3 linked regions of the Xenopus tropicalis genome follow. The protein of the gene in region 3 interacts with the protein of the main gene of each other region in a pairwise test. Links are inferred from orthologs where the notes say so. Each region holds a gene or a part of one and is shown on either strand. Other genes may lie near its edges.

What was found. The genes of interacting proteins can lie anywhere in the genome.
Region 1: the proteins of tacc1 (region 3) and lsm7 interact in binary tests that used the Homo sapiens proteins (3 or more experiments, as listed by UniProt). The link is inferred for Xenopus tropicalis from reciprocal best matches to the Homo sapiens genes TACC1 and LSM7.
Region 2: the proteins of tacc1 (region 3) and memo1 interact in binary tests that used the Homo sapiens proteins (3 or more experiments, as listed by UniProt). The two-hybrid records come from large-scale screens. The link is inferred for Xenopus tropicalis from reciprocal best matches to the Homo sapiens genes TACC1 and MEMO1.

What each region holds. Positions count from the first base shown.
Region 1 is NC_030677.2:92,737,239-92,744,035, forward strand, and holds the end of lsm7 (U6 snRNA-associated Sm-like protein LSm7), read right to left. Parts: intron 4,847-6,797; coding exon 4,775-4,846; intron 1,834-4,774; coding exon 1,691-1,833; 3' UTR 1,491-1,690; downstream 1-1,490. UniProt on the Homo sapiens protein: Plays a role in pre-mRNA splicing as component of the U4/U6-U5 tri-snRNP complex that is involved in spliceosome assembly, and as component of the precatalytic spliceosome (spliceosome B complex).
Region 2 is NC_030681.2:51,202,536-51,208,759, forward strand, and holds part of memo1 (protein MEMO1), read left to right. Parts: intron 1-4,008; coding exon 4,009-4,090; intron 4,091-5,051; coding exon 5,052-5,120; intron 5,121-6,224. UniProt on the Homo sapiens protein: May control cell migration by relaying extracellular chemotactic signals to the microtubule cytoskeleton. Mediator of ERBB2 signaling.
Region 3 is NC_030679.2:132,041,243-132,048,221, forward strand, and holds the start of tacc1 (transforming acidic coiled-coil-containing protein 1), read right to left. Parts: upstream 3,930-6,979; 5' UTR 3,642-3,929; coding exon 3,523-3,641; intron 1-3,522. UniProt on the Homo sapiens protein: Involved in transcription regulation induced by nuclear receptors, including in T3 thyroid hormone and all-trans retinoic acid pathways. Might promote the nuclear localization of the receptors.

The DNA of each region.
Region 1 (6,797 bases), on a different chromosome or scaffold from region 3:
TATTATTTCAGTTCCTCCAGAGAAGAACAACTTAACCCCCAGTTGTCCTGAACTGACAGGTAGGGTTGTACTTACAAATCTTCATACCCATGCTAATTAGAGACACCACCTCCTGGTGCAGTCTTATTTCTTTGTTACATCAGAGGATGTGGAAAACTGTTAGGAGGGTCACTCGCCCCATTGAACTTCAAGGAATAGCCCTGCCAGGCAATGCTTAGACGAATGGTCCAATATCTTAAGAGGCCTATTTATATCCCTAACCTTATAACATGCAAACCATAGCAATTATCTTCTGGAACACCATCTGGGGCATTAATTTAAAATTTAAGGTACTGAGTCACCCATACCTATCAAGCTAGACGGGTCTCCTTGTTGGGCAGGATGTCATACAAATGGTCATAACCTAAGTCTCTTAGCCTTAGTTTGGATTGAGAAGGTGAAACCATCCAGACAAAAGTAAACACTGTATCCATCCCTCATATAGATATGGTGTTTAACTCTATTCAAATTGTCTATTCAAACTGGCTCAAGGGGCGACCAAATTAATGTATTTCATAAGTCTGAAATTGCATGCAGAAGGAATATGCTAATTATTGGGCCACTAGTTACAAAACAGCATCCCCCCAAAACACTCTGGGAAGCCTGTAAGCCTGTGGAGCTTTGATTAATGAAATCGCTATAGGCAACAAAGTGTCCAAAGGAGCTACTGACATAGCCAAATACCTCCTTAGGGAGAAAGAAAATTATAAGCATCAAGAAAACTGAAAACCACCAGGCCTTAAAATCAGGCCTGGAGGAATCTAAATTGGTCCAAATTAACTTAACCAGGAAATAGTTCCTATATTACAATTGGCTTTCGTAAAATGTAATGGCAGTACTGTTACTACAGTCCATTTGCAGCCTTTACTACAAGTGATCCCATTAAGCGGCTAAACACACTAGTAGCAGCTACTTGTCACGGCCACCAAAATAAAACAATGCTGATCATTTACTGAGAACTGTCTCTATGTGTGTTTTAGCAGAGGCAGTTCTCAGTATTGTCTATGGCAGGGTATTTTCTGGTGTTTAGTAGCTGTGACAAGTAGATGCAACTAAGTAGCTTTGTGTGTTTGCACCCTTTATGATTGCTTGAGCTGAAAGGCTTGAGCAATCATAAAAAATGCCCCTACAATTATTAAAAGAGGTGGAATAAATTTGTTGACCTACACAATATATGCGAGTGGTTTGAGCCCCATATATTGAACCCCTGCTCACGTACTGAAGATTTTTCATAAAAGGGGTTAAAAAGGTTATAACATACAGGGCTAGCAAAAAAACATTGCAATAAACAAAAGCACTCTAAAACAAATGGCACAGTGACTGTTGCAAAAAATGAATTGCCAGGTAAGCGGTGCAAAACTATCCGCTGGAGATTCACCACTTTGTAGAACTTCATCTGAAGTCTTCATGGTTGCTCACATAAAAAATAATAGAAATACACACAGAAAAGGTTCCAATGAAATAATCAGTATATTTGAAATATATGGAATACGCTGGCTCTGCTAAAATAGCATCTCTCTGCCTTTAAAAAAAAAAAAAAAAAAAATGTTCTATATAAAATAAACAAAACAAATTCAGTACTCCACAATCTTCAACTTGAAGTTATTCTTTCTAACAAAGAAATATGGGAGAAGAAATTTAATATTGTTCATTAACCCTCTTGTTGTTGAACAAAAGGGTTTGGGATTGCCTCCATGCCATCCTGTGGACAAATCAGCACTACAGATGTTCCTCTGCAGACTACCAGCCCCAGCTGCCGTGTGTCCTCTGTTAATTTATACTGGTCATCTGGATCTAAAGAGAAAAAGACATGTTTTAATAGAACAAGTGACAATTCACAAAAGTTCTAAAAACTTCAACTTAAACCATTTCTAAAACATACAAGGTACAGCAAATTAACAAGCCGAAAATGTAAAATAAACGTTATATACTTTAACCATAATGGCTTTCTGAACAGGTACAGAGGGTGGCTGTTAATGGTACATTCTCTACTTGGAGTAAGGTTCTTAGTGTGGTCCCACAGGGTTCTGTGTTGGGTCCACTATTATTTAACTTGTTCATTAATGACTTAGGAGAAGGTATTATAAGTGATGTATCAGTGTTTGCAGATGACACAAAATTCTGCAGCCCAATTAATTCTATCCAGGATCCTTGCAGCAGGATTGTGACAAACTGGGGGGCTCAGTGGCAGAGAGATTCAATGTTGATAAATTCAAAGTCCTGCACCTGGGATGCAAAAATATGCATTAATTGAATTGCACTACACAAATCCATAATGGAAAAGGACCTTTAAGTCCTTGTAGGTAATAACTTGGCTGTGGCAAGCAAGGGCAAACAAGGTTTTGAGCTGTATTAAAAGGGACATAGAATTGTGAGAGGAAGGGGTTATTCTTCTGCTTTACAAAGCGCTGGTAAGGCCCTAATAGAAGTTTTGGTCTCCATTGCTCAAATGGGACATTATTATGTTAGAGAGGACCCAGAGAAGGGCAACGTAGCTGGTAAAGGATATGGATAGACGTAGTTATGAAGACTAGCCAGGTTGGGATGGTTTACCCTGGAAAATAGGCACTTCAGGGGTCATATAATCTCTCGAACGTTTTATTCACCAGTAGGTTCTTCCAACTAACACAAGGGCACCCATTCCAATTAGAAAAAAGTAGGTTCCGTCTAGATACTCTGAAAGGGTTTTTTTTGTTCTTTAACCGAGAGCTGTGAAGTTGTGTAATTCACTCCCTGAATTAGTCGCACTGACTGAGAGATAGCTTCAAGAAGGGGTTGGTTGGCATTTTAGCAAGTAAGGGAATACAATGGTCTGATTGCCTTCTTGGAACCAGGAAGGATTTTTTCCCCCTCCGCAGCAAATGAAAAGCTTCAAAAGGTTTATTTTGCTTTCCTCTGGATCAACTAGCAGTTAGGCAGGTTACATATAGGCATATAAAGTTAAACTTGATGGACTGGTGTCTTTTTAACCTAATTTACTATATTAAATACTACAGGTATTGGATCTATTATACCTTAAGTCTGCCAAAAAAAATTGAAACACAAAATAAACAAAATAGGATTGTTTTGCCACTTGAAGCCTTTAATTATTCGACAAGAAATCCCTTACCTGTTCCAATTATAAAGACTGAATTATGCAGTAACAGAACACCCACAATCCATAGATGGAAGGAGTGGTGGGGTAAAATTTAAAAAAATAATTGGAAAGGTCAAGTTTAGGCTATGATTTAAATGGAAAACCATACCCACAAAATAAATACTTAAACAGTTTATATCAGTTAGGGCATATTCTAGTTTAGCAAGATTCTTTAATAGGTCACTTTTACCTTGAGCCACAATTTTGTGATGGGCTGTGGGCTCCCATAGAGATTACATGAACAGAAATAATGCAGCTCTATCTGAAACATGAAGAAGTCACAGTTCTGTCCATTGATTGGCTAATGTAACCTAGTATGCACGTGTGCTTTGGTATGTGTGCAACATGAATCCTATGATCCCAAGAGGCGGCCCTTCATTTTTAAAATGGCAGGTTTCATGCAACATATTTTAGAGAGACCTACGGTGTTTTGCAGAATAGATTTCCTTTAATATGCATATTTTGACATATTGTTTCATGTCAGCACATTTTAAATTAAAAGACTAAACTAGAAAGGGAAGTTTGAGAACAAACTTCATGTTGGGTTGAAAAACATGAAGTCACTGAATGGGCTCTGCCCACTTTCTCTAACCTTGGATCACAGTTATACAATAAAAACCACTGTGCAAAGTTTGGGGACCCTGGCTTAATAGTGTCTGAATGGCAGCAACTTAAATTTCCCCACTGAAAGTCAACGAGTGACATCTGATTGGCGGTTGGTGGCTCCACCCCCTTTTTCTAACCTGGAACTGCAGCTACCCAGTGACTAACTCTGCAAAGTTTAGTTTAGGATTAATAGTTAAAGAACGGCAGCAGTTAAAGTTTAAACCAATAAAAGTCAATAGGTGAATTGTGATTGGTGGTTGGTGACCCCGCCCCCTTTTTCTAACCTTGAGTCGAAGTCACTCAGTGACAAAGAGTGGGCACTGTGGCATAAATAGTGTGAGAATGACAGCATTTTAAATTTAAACCAATAAAACTCAAAGGATGAAATCTGATTGGCCGTTAGTGGCCCAACCCACTTTTCCTATTTTTAAACTGCAGTCCCCCAGTGACCAACTTTGCAAATTTTGGGGACTCTGGCATAAAAATTGTGAGACTGACAGCATTTTACACTTCACAGTTGAAAGTAAATAGGTGAAATGTTATTGGCTGTTGGTGGCTCCGCCCACTTTTTTTCTGAACAGCAAGGTTGAATTTCCACCAAGTCAATAGGTAAAATCTGATTGGCTGTTCACAGCTCCGCCCACTTTTGGGCATTCAGCAATCATTGGGGTGTTCGGAGGGGCGCCACAAAAAGACGGGGGGCGGGAACGCATAAAAAAAGCACAAGCAACCTGCTCTGCTATAGGGCGAAGAAGTGTGGAGAGTTTGGTTGTTGTACCCCTAAAACTGTAAGAGGAGTAGCGTTTAGAAAATGGGGGGCGCTAAAAAGAAGAAGAAGTGGAAGAATAAGCCAAAGTCGAAGAACAGTATGTTGGGGTTTTCAACCCAACACAATTATTCCATGTGCCGCCTCCAGTCAAATAGCAAAACAATGCATACAAATTTGAAGTGCATCCTATGTATATGAAAGCTTTATGAATTTTTAGTACTTACCTCTCATATATTCTATTGTGCCATCCAGTACAAGATTCAGCAGTGGATCAAATCCTTTCAGTACTCCGCTTGCTTTAATCAGGTGAAGAATAAAAACAAGGGGAAAAAAGTATTTAAAAAGAGAAGCCCAAATAGTTCTGCACCCCAAGCTTATGTAAATGTTTTCAGCTTTGCCTATATCCGTTAAAATGGAAGATGATTCTCAGGAAAATGTCATTTTAGCTGGTGTATTACAGGGCGAGATTTAACATCTTGTATGGTTGAAACCTACTAAAGACTTTACAGATATTGCAAAAGTAGTTTATGAATTCCAAAAAGATGCTTTTCAAACTGCTTCCACAGTCTTACACTAGAATGAACTCAGTTATGTCAGCCTTACCTAGCACTACTTCCTCCACAAATGTTGTAAACAATTTTAGTGGCAGCAAATTAGGCAACTGCATTAAATTGGCTGGATCCTTCATTCTACTTACTCAATTGCTCTATTTTATTTATATACAAAGTTCCTGCTAGCACTGCTGGACAATAATTTTGAGAACCAGAATAAAAGGTGTTCCCCTTAAAATAAGAATCACTCCCTTTACATTTCCCTATGCATTGGCTATACATTAAGATTTTTTATTTGAATAAAAATATTTAAAATGAAAAATGCACTTGGTTTATTAAAATTACCTAGAGCTGGAGGAGGATCCACACATACATTTTAAGCCCTACACACACAACAAATTGTGGCGCACACAAAAAAAGTATGTGAACACACTGGGGCAGATTTATCAAAGTCTGAATGGGTACGATTACAAAAAATTTGTATTTTTTCTAATTTATAGAACTTTGTGTATTTTCCACAATATTTTTGTTAATTTCCGCAACTTTTTTGTGCTTTGAATAAATTTGTGAGACAAAATCGAAATTATCGCAACGACTACAAAAGTTTTGAAATTCATTCAAGCTGCAGAGTGCCATTGAGTCCTGTGGGAGGCTTCCAAAATCATGCATTGAAGGTTCAAAGTCAGAAAGTTTTTTGCGCCGGATTGTTTCGTTCGGATACGAAAATTTCGTAACTTTTGGATTGTACCATTTATTTAGATGAAGGTTTACTGAAGATGAAGCAGGGTTTTAAAAAATCCTGGAAGACTGATAAAAGATGGCGGCACTTACAGGGAATGTACTCCAGGCTGGAGGAGCACTGGCTTGGGTTTGAAAGTTAGTAATTATACTTACTAGGAGTGGGTGCCTAATATGTGAGAAACTTGCCAACCAATGGCAGTGTATGGCAGGCTACCAGGGGAAGCAATGCACAAAAGTAAAAAGAGTGAGGGTGGTTGGGGAAGGAACATCAGCCCTGCTGCCTAAGGAGGAAGCAACCCCTGCAGCACCTCTCTCCATTTTCTATTGCACAAAATAAAGGATAGTATCTTTTGCTGCAAAGAAATGCACAGATGAAAAAATGTAGGTCTTTACCTTAGAAGACCTAAAGTTGAAAAATCAGAGACAAGTCAGGAACATCCAGCTGCATTAATTAAAATGCAATCACTTTGCAAATAAACAGCCCTAACAATTTGGATTTATTAAAAATGTGCATATTTTTCATGTGATCTGATAACAATAGTGGGAATTTACAAAACTGGAGCAATTAGCAGTTAGAAAGGTTTCATTTAGACATAAAAGGTTGAATATGTTCTGAATATGTTCCAACCTAAGTTACTAACTTATCTCTGAAATTGTAGCACACAGCAACTATTCTGGAAGTAATTCAAGTACTTAAGCTACAGCATAACTGCCACGTCTTGCATACTGTAGCATACTGTATACAGACAAAATGTAGATTGCAGGTTTGATTTTCCTGTTGAATCAAGGACTACATCTGTGATTGCTGTAGTCCTAGTTACTTGCCTGCATAGAGACAATTTTGATACAATCAGCCCAATTTTGCCCACCTTAAGGTCCATATCAGTGAAAGACACACTCATTCAGCGACCTTGTCAAACAAGTGAATCTTATAACGTATGGCAAAGCTTTAGTA
Region 2 (6,224 bases), on a different chromosome or scaffold from region 3:
TTGAAAAACAATCATGTTCTTACTATAGAACCCTGTGTATAGACAGGTATTCATATACGTATGTATGTAAATATATAGAGGTAGATAGAAATATAGACAGGTATTCAAACCTGCCCAGAAATAACACGGCAGCACAGGTGGCTTTGCCAAAATTACCCACCCACATACTGATCGACTTGTGTTTTTCTACTTGTCGGAGAATACGAACTGTTAGTAATTATTATTATCTTTTATACAGCACTGTATATGCGGCAGAGAGATTATTTATCACTTTGATGAGTCCCTGCTCCTGCAACGCTTACAGTCACATTTCTCTATGACATTCAGGCACACACTAGGCCATTTTCATCTGGAGCAATCAGACACGGGCATGACATACAAACTCCATGCATATGTTCCTGGTCAGAACAAAAAAAAAGAAATCCAAACCATTGGGAAAAAAAGCTATAATTTAAAGGGGCATTATATATAGTCTTCTTATTTTTTTTTTTTATTTTTTTTTTAATTTTACCAGGTGCACCAGTGAAGGAGGACTATGAGACTGCTATGTGCTGCTGTTAAGCTGCCTCATTTGCCAGTATTGCAAATATGGGTGATGGACCAAGGAAAGATATCTTGCCTGCCAGTGACAAATCATCTGAAATATCTTAGCATTGGTGTCAGTGTGAATCATCAGTGGTAAAACATATAAATTGTGCATCCACTGAAAATGACCTTTTCCAGCAGTTACCCGATTCATAAGTTTTGCCGCTGGGGATTCGCACTGACACCAATGCTAAGGTATCTTCAAGTTCTTGCAGGTGACAAATCTACTTTTACCCAAATATATTTATGGGCAGTATTATGAATTTATGATGTCTATGTTTTGCATAGTAACACACTATACATTATAAATTACCAGCCCGAGCATAGTATTTTAACATTATAGGGCTTAATTATGGTCGCAAGGTGCTGAGCTGGGATCAGCACTGCGACAGTCAAAATGCTATTCAGCAAAATACTTGCACTTCCTTGTACTACTTCACTGTGTACCAATATGCCAGTTGCACCTGAATTAAAGAATAGGGTACAAAGGATCTGTTTTCCAGAAATATCCAAATTGCAGAAAGGCCATCTCCCAAAGACTCCATTATAAGCAAATAATTCTAATTTTAAAAATGATTGCCTTTTTCTCTAATAATAAAACAGTAATTTATACTTGATCGTATGTAAATTGCATGAATCCAACTTGTTTTTTAGCGTTTACATCTTGCACATGCACACTCCTGTTTGCAGTCAACAATATATGTTTACCAGTGAATTGATTGCAGTTTTTGGTTCAGTAAGGCTAATGCCACACCGAGCGTATGGCGTATATTTTCAGCAAGCGGAAAAACACTTGCCGAAAATATCGCCATCCGCACAATATGTCCCCTACCTGTGCCTGCACCGGAATGAATGAGATACGCTGGGGTGCAGGTATATGTAGCCGTTATCCGCATAAAAACGCAAGACTTTGCATTCTCTCGCGTTTTTATGTGTATTTCGGCTACATGTGCCTGCACCCCAGCGTATCTCATTAATTCGGGTGCAGACACAGGTAGGAGGCGGATGGCGATATTTTCGGCAAGCGATGCCTCATCTGAAATTAGCCTAATGTTTAAATGTCCACTCTACATTCAGTTTGACCAGCATAATTGTGCTTAATACAGGGGAATACATATTATCTTATATATTAAGGGCAGTGATCCCCAACCAGTGGCTTAGAAGCAACATGTTGCTCACCAAATGTTGCTCCCAGTGGCCTCAAAGCATTTTTGAATTTCTGACTTGGAGGCATAAAGACTATGGGGCCTATATATTATGTTTAGTTAAAAGATGGCACCAAAATTTGCCATACATTGCCAGGCTTCGCCACACGAAAAACAGTGTTATTTTATGATTACTTTAAAAGTACACTTGAATGCAGTGCACCTTGAACACACATTTCAAGTGCAAAAAAATCACCAGCCATATGTAGCCTTGCGGTTTGGTGTTCAGTGGTGTATTAGGTTGGTAAATTTTGCATATACAGGTATGGGACCTGGGGTTTTCCAGATAAGGGATCTTTCTGTAATTTGGATCTCCGTTACTTAAGTCTGCTAAAAATTATTTAAAAATTGAATAAACCCAAGAGGCTTGTTTTGCCTCCAATAAGGATTTATTATATCTTAGTTGGGATCAAGTACAAGGTACTGTTTTATTAGTACAGAGAAAAAGAAAATAATTTTTAAAAATTGGAATTATTTGCTTATAATGGAGTCTATGGGCGATGGTCTTTCCGTAATTCAGAACTTTCTGGATAACGGGTTTCCGGATAAGGGATCTTATACCTGTATATATAATATGTGTGTGATGCTTTTCTTTCTCCCTTTGATCATTCACAATCCTAATTAAAAAAGATATAAAGTGTGCCTTCAGAGGTCAGAGGCACAATTTCAAGGAGGAAGAGTGTGTCCGTGAGCACCCACAGATAGTTCCTGGTGGGGAGCAAGACTGGGTTGGCAAGGATTGAGCCTACAGGGTTCACCTTTGTGCTGGATCACGACAAAGGCCAGTGCTGGCTGTTGAGACCAGATCAAAGAGCCAATGCGGTTCTTGTCCCTACAGAATTTTTTAAGCCTATACTCGGGCAAATAAGCTGCTGACTTGGCCTGAAGAGGGTCAAATCCTGTATGGTCAGCTTTAATCTGCCTATTTTCATGCAATTGTCACCTGTTAAAAGATCTCTGAAGTGTTTTTTGTTGCACTTAATGTGATCAAAAAGCTTTATATGCAGCAAAGCTAAAGAAAAAGCCTTTAGCACCAGTAGCTGAATTTAGGATAGATATTTGAAACCTTCTGCTGAAGCCATCATTATGCTCCTCTTTTGCCAACTCAGGCAGCCATTCTACAATAACATGGAAATATTTTTATCCAAGCTTAAATACTATAAATACCTGGAAAATTATTTTGATGTTTTTTTTTTATTAAGCATGAAATTTGGTAGGTTACAGTCTAGCTTTTATAAGTGCATACCAATGTAGCTTTAGTTTTAACTGCAGGGTAACCAGACATCTGGATGTCAGTCAGAAGTTGTGCATATAGCTAAATGCTATCGTTTTCAACTAAAATAATTTCAGATAAAGTAAATGAGCTCTATAACCCACTTGTGTTTTCTGGCATCATTTACCAGAAAAATTTGCTACTTAGAACTTTTGGGCATGTTTTAGCCGAACATGAGCATCATAAGTCCACACAGCTTACATAAGAAACCGATAAGGGTATTGTGAGCATATGGAACAATAGTCTGTGTAGCAGTTTATATAGTCTGGCACTTTCAGAATCCTTTATTTTTCCCAACGTTACATATTTTGTAGCTGAAGGAACCACTGTCATGGTAGTTCAGCAACTGAATGGAGTATATCTGCTTTGGTATATCTGGCAATGCCTAAATACAAACACGTATAGTTATAATAAATGTGAAAATAAATAAATATATGCTTAAGTTTAGAAGTTTTAAACATACAGTCTATTTGCTTACAATCGATTATGTTCATATAATTGTAAAGTTTAAACGGTAAGTTTACAGTTTGTGATTATGAAACCATTGGTTGAAGGTCTTTTTAGTCAACAAGTTATTCAGTGAAATAAACAACCATTTATTGGCTCAAAATTTAAACAAACAATTCAAAAAGCAAACATGCTATACCAAACAATGGAAAGGTACATCCAAGTGCCTCATGGTGCCCACTCTCCTAACGCGTTTCGCACCATTCGGTGCTTCACCAGAGGAGGTCAAGAAGGTCTTTGTATACATATGTATTGCTCCCTAATGCAATTAGTATTTGTGGAAAGCAATGAAAATGTGTATAGTAAATCTCTTGTGTATTCTTTGTCAACAATGTAAAATACATTTAGTTTTAAGGTATCCAGGATTAAGGCACATTAATAGCAATGCTTGATATTCATTGCCTTTGTAATGTTCTTTTATCTGGGGTTTTCTTGCAGGATCCCAGTTGAGTGCACAACTAGACGGCTGGCTATCACAAGCACAAACCTCAAAGAGACCTGCAAGAGCCATCATTGCCCCGTAAGTTATAACAGCTAATTATTTTCCAGTTGCCGTATTTTAAAGTCCCCTCTAACCGTTAAACGAGTAGTCCACCTTTAAATTAACTTATACTATGATGTAGACATTAATATTCTAAGGCAATTTGCATTTGATCTTCATTTTTTTTTTTTTTTTTTAAACATTTAGAATTTTTGCAGTTCTCCGGTGTTATTTTTTAGCAGCTGTCTGGTTGCTAGGGTAAGCAGTGGTTTGAATGAGGGACTGGAAAATTCAAAGGAGAGGCTTGAATAGGAAGATAAGTAATAAAAAGTACCAATAAAAGTATAATTGATCCCTCACAAAGCAATAGATATTTTGGCTGACAGGGTCAGTGACCAGTTGCACAGCTGCTAGGAATAGGACATTCTATAACATTCTAAAAAGTTTACTTTAAGGTAAACCACCCCTTTTAATGAAAACTTCTGTGATATGGCTTATATTGAGTGTTTTAATAATGCACATATTATGTCAGTTTAGTTGAATGCCACATGAGAGGGTTTCTCAGCCTTAACATTAGAATATAGAGCAGAAGTGTCTGTGTTTTATATGGACTGACTGTTCTGGTGGACAACTGGGAGCTGGAGTTCAGTCACATCTCGAGGGCCTCAGTCTGCCCATCCTGGTTTTTAAGTGAATGTGTCATTTAGCACATTTTTTTTATATGCATATCATATTTTTATTTCCAACAGTTAACCTTAATAAATGTATCTACTTGTTTTATTAATAATTCCAATTAGTTTTATATGAGTGCACGGCCCTTGCTTTTAATTCATTCGTTGTAAGTCTGTTTCACCGTATTAGATGTTTTGTGATTATTTTAAAATTAACTGCAGTAACTGATGACATTGGTCTAAAGGACAAAGAGCCAGCATATTATATTACTTTTTTTGTTTGGATATGGGTCATCATTTTGTAAATGTATTATTATTTTAAATTGCAGTCATGCAGGATACACTTATTGCGGGTCATGTGCTGCTCATGCCTATAAACAAGTAGACCCTTCAGTCACGTAAGTATATTGTATCTTAAGATAATTTAATATAATAGGTCATTGATAAACTAATACAGGTATGGTACCTGTTATCCAGAATGCATGGGACCTGGGGTTTTTCACATAAGGGGTCTTTAATTAAACCCAATAGGAATATTTTGCCTCCAGTAAGGATTAATTATATCTTAGCTGGGATCAATTACAAGGTACTGTTTTATCATTACAGAGAAAATGAAAATCATTTTTAAAAATGTGAATTATTTGATTAAAATACACTCTCTGGGAGATTGCTTTTCTGTAATTTGGAGCTTTCCGGATAACTGGTTTCCAGATAATGGATCCCATACCGAGCAATTATTTATTTGGTAGAGTCACCGTGGCACTGTGAACGCTACAGTTTAGCAACAGCCTAACAGTGATAAAATTGTCTGGATTCCCATTGCGTACACCAGCAAACCCCTTATGCCCACGATTTTCATGGTGTGCATTTTAACGCTGCTGTAATATAAGAGGTATCTACATTCATACTTTGTATAAAGAGTTACCATACAAATAAATAAAATAATATACAGCACACAGACATGTTCTAAAATAAAAGTGCTGCATCATAACCTTCACTAGAACAGGAAACACATAAAAACAAACACTAAACAAAAAGAAGCACAGCAGGTAGTATTTAGCTTTTTGGCAGATCTCGCGTTTCGCACAGCAGGAGTTCTGCACGTCTTAGACACAGAACATGGCTGGTGTGTTTTTAACTTCAAGCTAATTTTATTTTGTGTCCAATTCCATCTGTCCACAGGAAGGTTAGGTTGCCATTTTCTTCAGTTGTGTGTGTATTTTACTGCTCCATTTTTGCTGAGCAAGATACGCAGACTTGCAAGGTTAAACTGAAGTGAACTGGTAGAGAGTTTTTTCTCATTTTAATTATATAGATATATAAAGTAGTCCAGTGGGTGCACACCACATACAACAACAAAACCTGGGTGGCACAACAATTAAAACATACAGGGCCAAGGACAGCACTTATAGGATTGCCAACAGCATAAATGATTTTGTGGCACAAGTAGTGATACCAGCAATACCCAGTGTAATTATTGAGCAGATATGCACCTGTATTTT
Region 3 (6,979 bases):
CAATGTTTTGTTTTCCTCCCAGGTACCCCTTCAGCTGCTTTGGGTGGGGCATATGGCAAATTTACTAAACTGCACATCTGCCTAACTTTAATCAGCTCAAAGAATACTTGGGAATCCCTAATGTCAGAGCCCAATGTGGTCTTATCTGAAGGCAGTGTGGCCCTATCTACCGACAATATGCCTGACCCAGAATGCTTTGCGCATGCCAATACAAAGGCATGCCTTACCTGCACTGAGATACGAGATATTGGAATCGTTATTAGTGAGACTGGGGCTACAGTGCGCATTCCTCCTCCTCCGTGAGAAGCTTAATCCTAACCCTCATAAATATTTATCTTATGTTTTTATGCAGAAGTGAAATATTTGGCATCCCTGTGCTGTTGTTAGCTGGCTGAGGAGGAACTGGAAGTTCTGCCCAAGCACTGCCTTGTTGTGTAATAAATTAGCCTTACAGGGGGAAGCCAGGAGCCACTTACAGAATGGCTATACAGAAAGTGATGGAAAGGCGATTTATATGCCCCTAAGAAATATACCTTAATACCATTATTCTTATTAGCTTATTAAAAAGGCACTGTGTTAGAAAGAAGGCTGACTTTAAAGGGAAAGTTCGATTTACATTTATTTACCAACAGTTACTATTAGCTGTAGGCCCGTATATTCACCTGGGCAAGTGCCCCTTGCTAGTGATGCACATATGCACAGAGGGTGGCACTGGATTTTATTTGGCTCCATGGGTGGGGGCCACCCACTTTGCTCTTCCCTACCTGATAGTGCCAATATCTGCCACTGGCAATGGGTCTGACTACATGTGAAAGGGAATCCGTTGGGAATGTAAGCACAGTAAGTCTCCATGAGAGGCTCACAGTAGTCAAACGGCATATGCCCTAGGCCCACAGTCACCGTTTATTCACGACTTATTCCTCTACCCAGGCCCTCATATACCATATATCTTCCACTCCACTGGTCCAGATTGGGTACCAACAGGCACAGGTTGGGCCAGGGACTGAATAGCACAGGATGGACCAGGCACTGGCTAGCAGGGCCACCATCAGAAACTTTGGGACCCAGCGCAAGTTATTTATATAGGGCCCCGCAGGAACACACAATTTTTTTTGAAGCCCAACATTTTTGCCGTTTTGGGAAACTTTTGAAAGGTTTGCAAATTTTTTTGGTGAAGCGAAACAGGACAGATTCATTCAGTCAGTACATTGGGGGCAGTGAAATTTACTTTATGTTGTTAATTAACTGGGGGTCAGTGCAGCTTCTCTGCATTGTCTTTCATTTGATACACAGGTTAGGTTTCAGGGCAAGTTTCTTGGCAGTCTTTGCCAAAGTTACACAAGTTTTGGCGTAACTTTACGTTTTTGCAGTAATTATGCAAGTTTTGATGTAACTTTATACGTAACTTGCGCACTGTGACCAGGCCCCCACACAATTGTACCCCCTTTCCCACCCTGATGGTGGCCCTGCTGGGAAGCAGGGGCTGAGCCAGAAACTGGTTAGTAGTAGAGGAAGGACTGGGTACCAACTGGCATAGGCTGAGCCAAGGAATGTCTGAGACGCAGAACAGAATGGACGGGATTCTGACAGCCTTAAACCTGACTGTATGTATTAATATAAGATACAAGTCCAATACCCTTGGATTACAATAATTTCTACTGCAATTGGGGCCCAGCCTTCTTGCCCCCACCACCTCTGCCTCTATCCCATCCATCTGCCCTTTGCCCTCGCCACTGACAAGTGATCCTGTGGCATCAAAGAACTGCATGGGGTTTATATTGAGCCCCCCATAACTCATGTCCAGGCAGGTCACTGCTAAGCCTATGGCAGGCACTGATAGGGTTACTGGATCATGTGGCACATCTAGAAAATCCAGCTAGCAGGGTTGCACTTATTAAAATATAATTTAAATGCAATCAGAGCAGCCATAAAACATGAATGTATTAGACAGGTCACTGAATTTTCAATTGATCCGGTAACTCCACATCAGCTCCAGTTACTGCACCATCTACCATTATTCATTTACTAACCAAGTGCATCCAATCAGCTTGAAAATGTCTTTTACATGTTGGATAAAGGAAAGCAAGTATCAGATTGGTTGCTATGGGCAACTGCTCTGGTGCAATTTAGCACCTGTAAATCAGCCCTTTCATCTGACACTTTTAAGATGCCGATATTTCCACAGTGCTGACAATCAAAGTTCTCAGTGGGGAGGGGCCATGTGTTTCTGGCGAATCAGGTAATGTAAAAGGGATGTTATTTGTTTAGGAAGTGAAACCCACAACTGCACTGACTGTTGTTACTCCCCAATGAGGCGTTAGCTGCCAGCGACATTTCCTGCTGCCTGTACAGCATGTGTCATTCAGTGCTGAGTGTAGAGACTTGGCACCACTATACAGAGCAGCCTGGTCATTATCAGCGTATAGAGATACTCAGCATCATTATACAGAGCAGCCTGGTCATTATCAGCGTATAGAGATACTCAGCATCATTATACAGAGTAGCCTGGTCATTATCAGCGTATAGAGATACTCAGCATCATTATACAGAGTAGCCTGGTCATTATCAGTGTATAGAGATACTCAGCATCATTATACAGAGCAGCCTGGTCATTATCAGTGTATAGAGATACTCAGCATCATTATACAGAGCAGCCTGGTCATTATCAGTGTATAGAGATACTCAGCATCATTATACAGCACAGCCTGGTCATTATCAGTGTATAGAGATACTCAGCATCATTATACAGAGCAGCCTGGTCATTATCAGCGTATAGAGATACTCAGCATCATTATACAGAGTAGCCTGGTCATTATCAGCGTATAGAGATACTCAGCATAATTATACAAAGCAGCCTGGTCATTATCAGTGTATAGAGATACTCAGCATCATTATACAGCACAGCTTGGTCATTATCAGCGTATAGAGATACTCAGCATCATTATACAGAGCAGCCTGGTCATTATCAGTGTATAGAGATACTCAGATCATTATACAGAGCAGCCTGGTCATTATCAGCGTATAGAGATACTCAGCATCATTATACAGAGCAGCCTGGTCATTATCAGCATATAGAGATACTCATCATCATTATACAGAGCAGCCTGGTCATTATCAGTGTATAGAGATACTCAGCATCATTATACAGAGCAGCCTGGTCATTATCAGCGTATAGAGATACTCAGCATCATTATACAGAGCAGCCTGGTCATTATCAGCGTATAGAGATACTCAGCATCATTATACAGAGCAGCCTGGTCAGTATTACTATACAGCCCAGCCTGTTTATCACCATTATATAGAGATATATGACTATACATTGCAGCATGATGGCTGAAAATGAAGGCATAATAAGAGATCCACCTGTGGCTTAGTACTACTGTATAACTACAGTTCCCAGAAGCCCCTGTTAGCCCTATGCAGCACCAGGCGGTTATGTATCAGCTGATTGAGATGCGCAGCGCTAGCTCCATAGCCAGTCAGTAACTGGGCACCCACCCTGGCACTGCCCATTGCACTCACCCAGACTCCTGGGACGGGTCCTCCTCTCCCTCCGGCCCCCCTCCGCCTCCCCGTACCGCGGACCAGGTCCACTTTGCCCACTGCACCGGTGACAGCACTTGCCAGGGGCTGAACGACATCGCTGCAGTGGTTTGACCCAGAAAACTTCTGTCTCACCGGATAACCAGTCCCCCCTCCTGTGTGGATGGCACAGCCCGGGCCAAGGTAACCTAGGTAACCCAGAATCCCACCCGGTGCCGCTCACATCTGGAAGCTACCGGCCCTTCGATCCTACCGGGCTGCAGCCAGTGCCCGAATGTGCCTGCAGGGCCGGGAATCAGCTGTGTGTATCCAAGCGCTCCCCCTGCCGGTCATACTGCGTCACTGCACCGAGCGATCAAAGCCCACGCCGCAGCTGTAGCGCTCATGAGTCACAACTGAGCGGCCCCCCGGCAACAGCAGCAGGTTGGTAGCTTCCGCGCATTACAGCCCTGCTGCCTGGGGGCGCTACAATGGTGGGCTCTACATGCTGCCTAAGCAATGGCTCACTGCTAACGCGGTGCATGATGGTGCCCAGGACATGGGGCAGCCAGTGCAGCAATGCCAACTTATTGTTATGGTGCCCAGTCACCAGGTGGCAGCTAACCCCTGGGGCACATTGGGACTCCACAACCTGCCTCAGAAACCAGCAATTCATTTTGATGCATGCTGCAGGCTACACTTCTGCCTGCACAGCCATGCCATTAACTGTCTAAATGATTTGCTAATTAGACTGGGATCTGCTCTCCTTTAGTTTAAAGGGGAAGGTTTGTACCCCAGAGTGGAACCACACCTTGCCTTCAGATCTCTGCTCCATCTGGTATATTAGCATTTGGCAACAGCTGAAGGCTCTCAGGGGATGCTGGGAGTTGCTGTGCAGTGTACTTAGTGCCAGTGCCCCACCCATGCTCATGTTTGTGGGGTGCCCTGACAGCCAGCTATCAGCTGAGTCCCCCCTCCCCTTCAAACAGACTCTGCCACTGCAGAGAGGAGGGTTCCACAACCCCCCCCACACACACACACACACATACATACGCACACACACAAACACACACATCAAAGTGAACAAGTTTGTGCTCTCCTCCCCTCTTGGCTGGGATAGTTCAGCGGCAGCAACACAGAGAACAAACAAGGAGGAGAGTGAGTGCAGGAGGAACAAAGGGATCTCCTGGCTGTGCAGCTGCCCATGGGCCCCCCCCCCCCAGGCTTCCTGCTAACCAGCTGCACTCACCCCACTTCCACTTTTTGTGTATTGTTTGGGCATTTAACCCTTTCTGCTCTGGATTCATTATGGGGAACTTGTTGCAGCTACAAGGAGTCACACACAAAAAAATTGGCCTGGTCTATGGCTAAAGGTGGCCATACACGTAAAGATCCACTCGCCTGGCAAGGTCGCCAAGCGAGCGGATCTTCTCCCGATATCCCCACCTACGGGTGGGCAATATTGGGTGAATTCAGGCCAAATTTTTTAACCTGCCTGTCAAGAACACGCATGACACTGCCCTATCGATATCTGGCCGATTTCAGGCCAGATGTTGGTCGGGTAGGCCTGTCGTTTGTGCCCCTACACAGGCCGATAAGCTGCTGAATCGGTTCTAAGGGACCTATATCAGAAGCTACAATCGGCCTGTGTATGGGGACCTTAAGCAGTGCCCAAGTATGTGCCATAAAGGTGTAAGTATAGAGGGAACAGACCCTGCAAGTGCTCAGGGACCCAGAAGCCATATAGGGGCTCAGTGGGGCACTGACTGATAAGCAGATTTAATAAATGTCTATGCCAGATGTATTATTCCCAAAGCATAGGGGGCCTTAAATGAATTTACCCATACCCATAACTTCTGCCTGTGCCACTGGGTGAGCCTTTCCCATGTGTGCTTCGAGGCAAGAGAAAGCATGGAGTCTGTCTCGGGGCGACACTTTCCCACCCAGTGCCAGGGAGAATGCCCAACATCACTATGTGCCAAAGCCATATGAGCTGCAGGGATGTGCCTGGTCTTATCCATTAGTGCCCCCTATCAGAGGGGGTGGTCTGTTCCGCTTGGTTGTGTCACTAAGGGACCTGAGCAGGGAAGCTGCAAGAGCATAAAGGGAAAATGGGGATTATCTCCTTTTTGAGTAAAGAATGGCCATAGAGCTTATAGTGTGCCCACAGCATTCCCTTTCTTCCTTATTTGCATTTGTATGTGACTGGGGGATGCCATGCTGGTTGCCCCTGCGGAGACATTCTCGGTCGACAACCATAGCAAAAGTTCTTTATGAGCCTGTGGGACCTTGTTGTTATTGAATTCTATAGAAAATAACTGAATAGCCAAAACAGCCCATTCCCTTGAATGTCCTGCCTAAAGCCAATGCCACACGTAGCGTATTCTTGGCAAGCCGACAACCTCTTGGTGAGAAAACTCCAAGGTAGATGTACCTATATTTTACTCGGGGGGGGGTTTAAGCAGGTGGCCCCTGAGGGGTGTGAGGGCCCCAGGGTGGGACCCCCGGTGGGCCCTGCACCCCCCAGTGCAACCCTGCAATCATACATACTATGCCACAATTACTCTCCCTCTCACTGCCTATTTATTATGCTGTGTAAGATTAATTCGCCCAAAAATCGGTGCAAAAAGCTGTGTAAAATAAATGGATTATTCCAAACGCCAAGTTTTACACCATTATTTTACGGAAGTTCCGGCAGAAGAAAAAACACCTAAAAAAATTACACCTTTGTTTACATGATAAAGCTTGGCCATGTTGCCATTTTTTTGCCATTTTTTTACACAGTATAATAAATCCCCCCTTAATCTCTATCCCTAGGGCCCCAGTTACTGATCTCCCAACACCTGCAGAGCCTATGAGAGCAGCGATGTTCCACACAAGTCTGTGCAGCAGTCAGGCAGGCAGGGGGGGCCATAAAGGAATTCTTGGAGAGGAGATGCAGCCCCCAGGCCCCCAGTTGGACGGCCCAGTACTGAACGCTTCCCTGTATGAGAACAACATGTTTGTCATCACTCAGCCCCTGTGAGGGAGGAAATAAACACATCCTGTCAGTGGGAGATGGTTCCGGTGATATTATGCTGCAGCCTACACCGGGGAGCCAACCTGCTATGGAACAGGGGTGTACGGCATACTCTGACAGTAAAAGGTAGTTTGGGGGGGCTTGTGGGAGTTGTAGTTCAATAGAAGCCAGAGGGTTGCTGTTTGGACATCCCTGACCCACACTATGTACAATAATTAGCAAAACGATTAGGGTGTTAAAGGGAAAGTATTCCCAATTATAGGTATGTATTATAGCAAACAAGAGCTCACCCCAAACCTTACCCTAAGTGACCCACAGGCTGGATTTCCAGAAGGATCTACAGGATCAAATGGGCATTCTACCCAGATCTCACTCTTAGGGGTGTATTTATAAACGCCAGTGATGTTGCCCATAGCAACCAATCAGATCTTTGCTCTT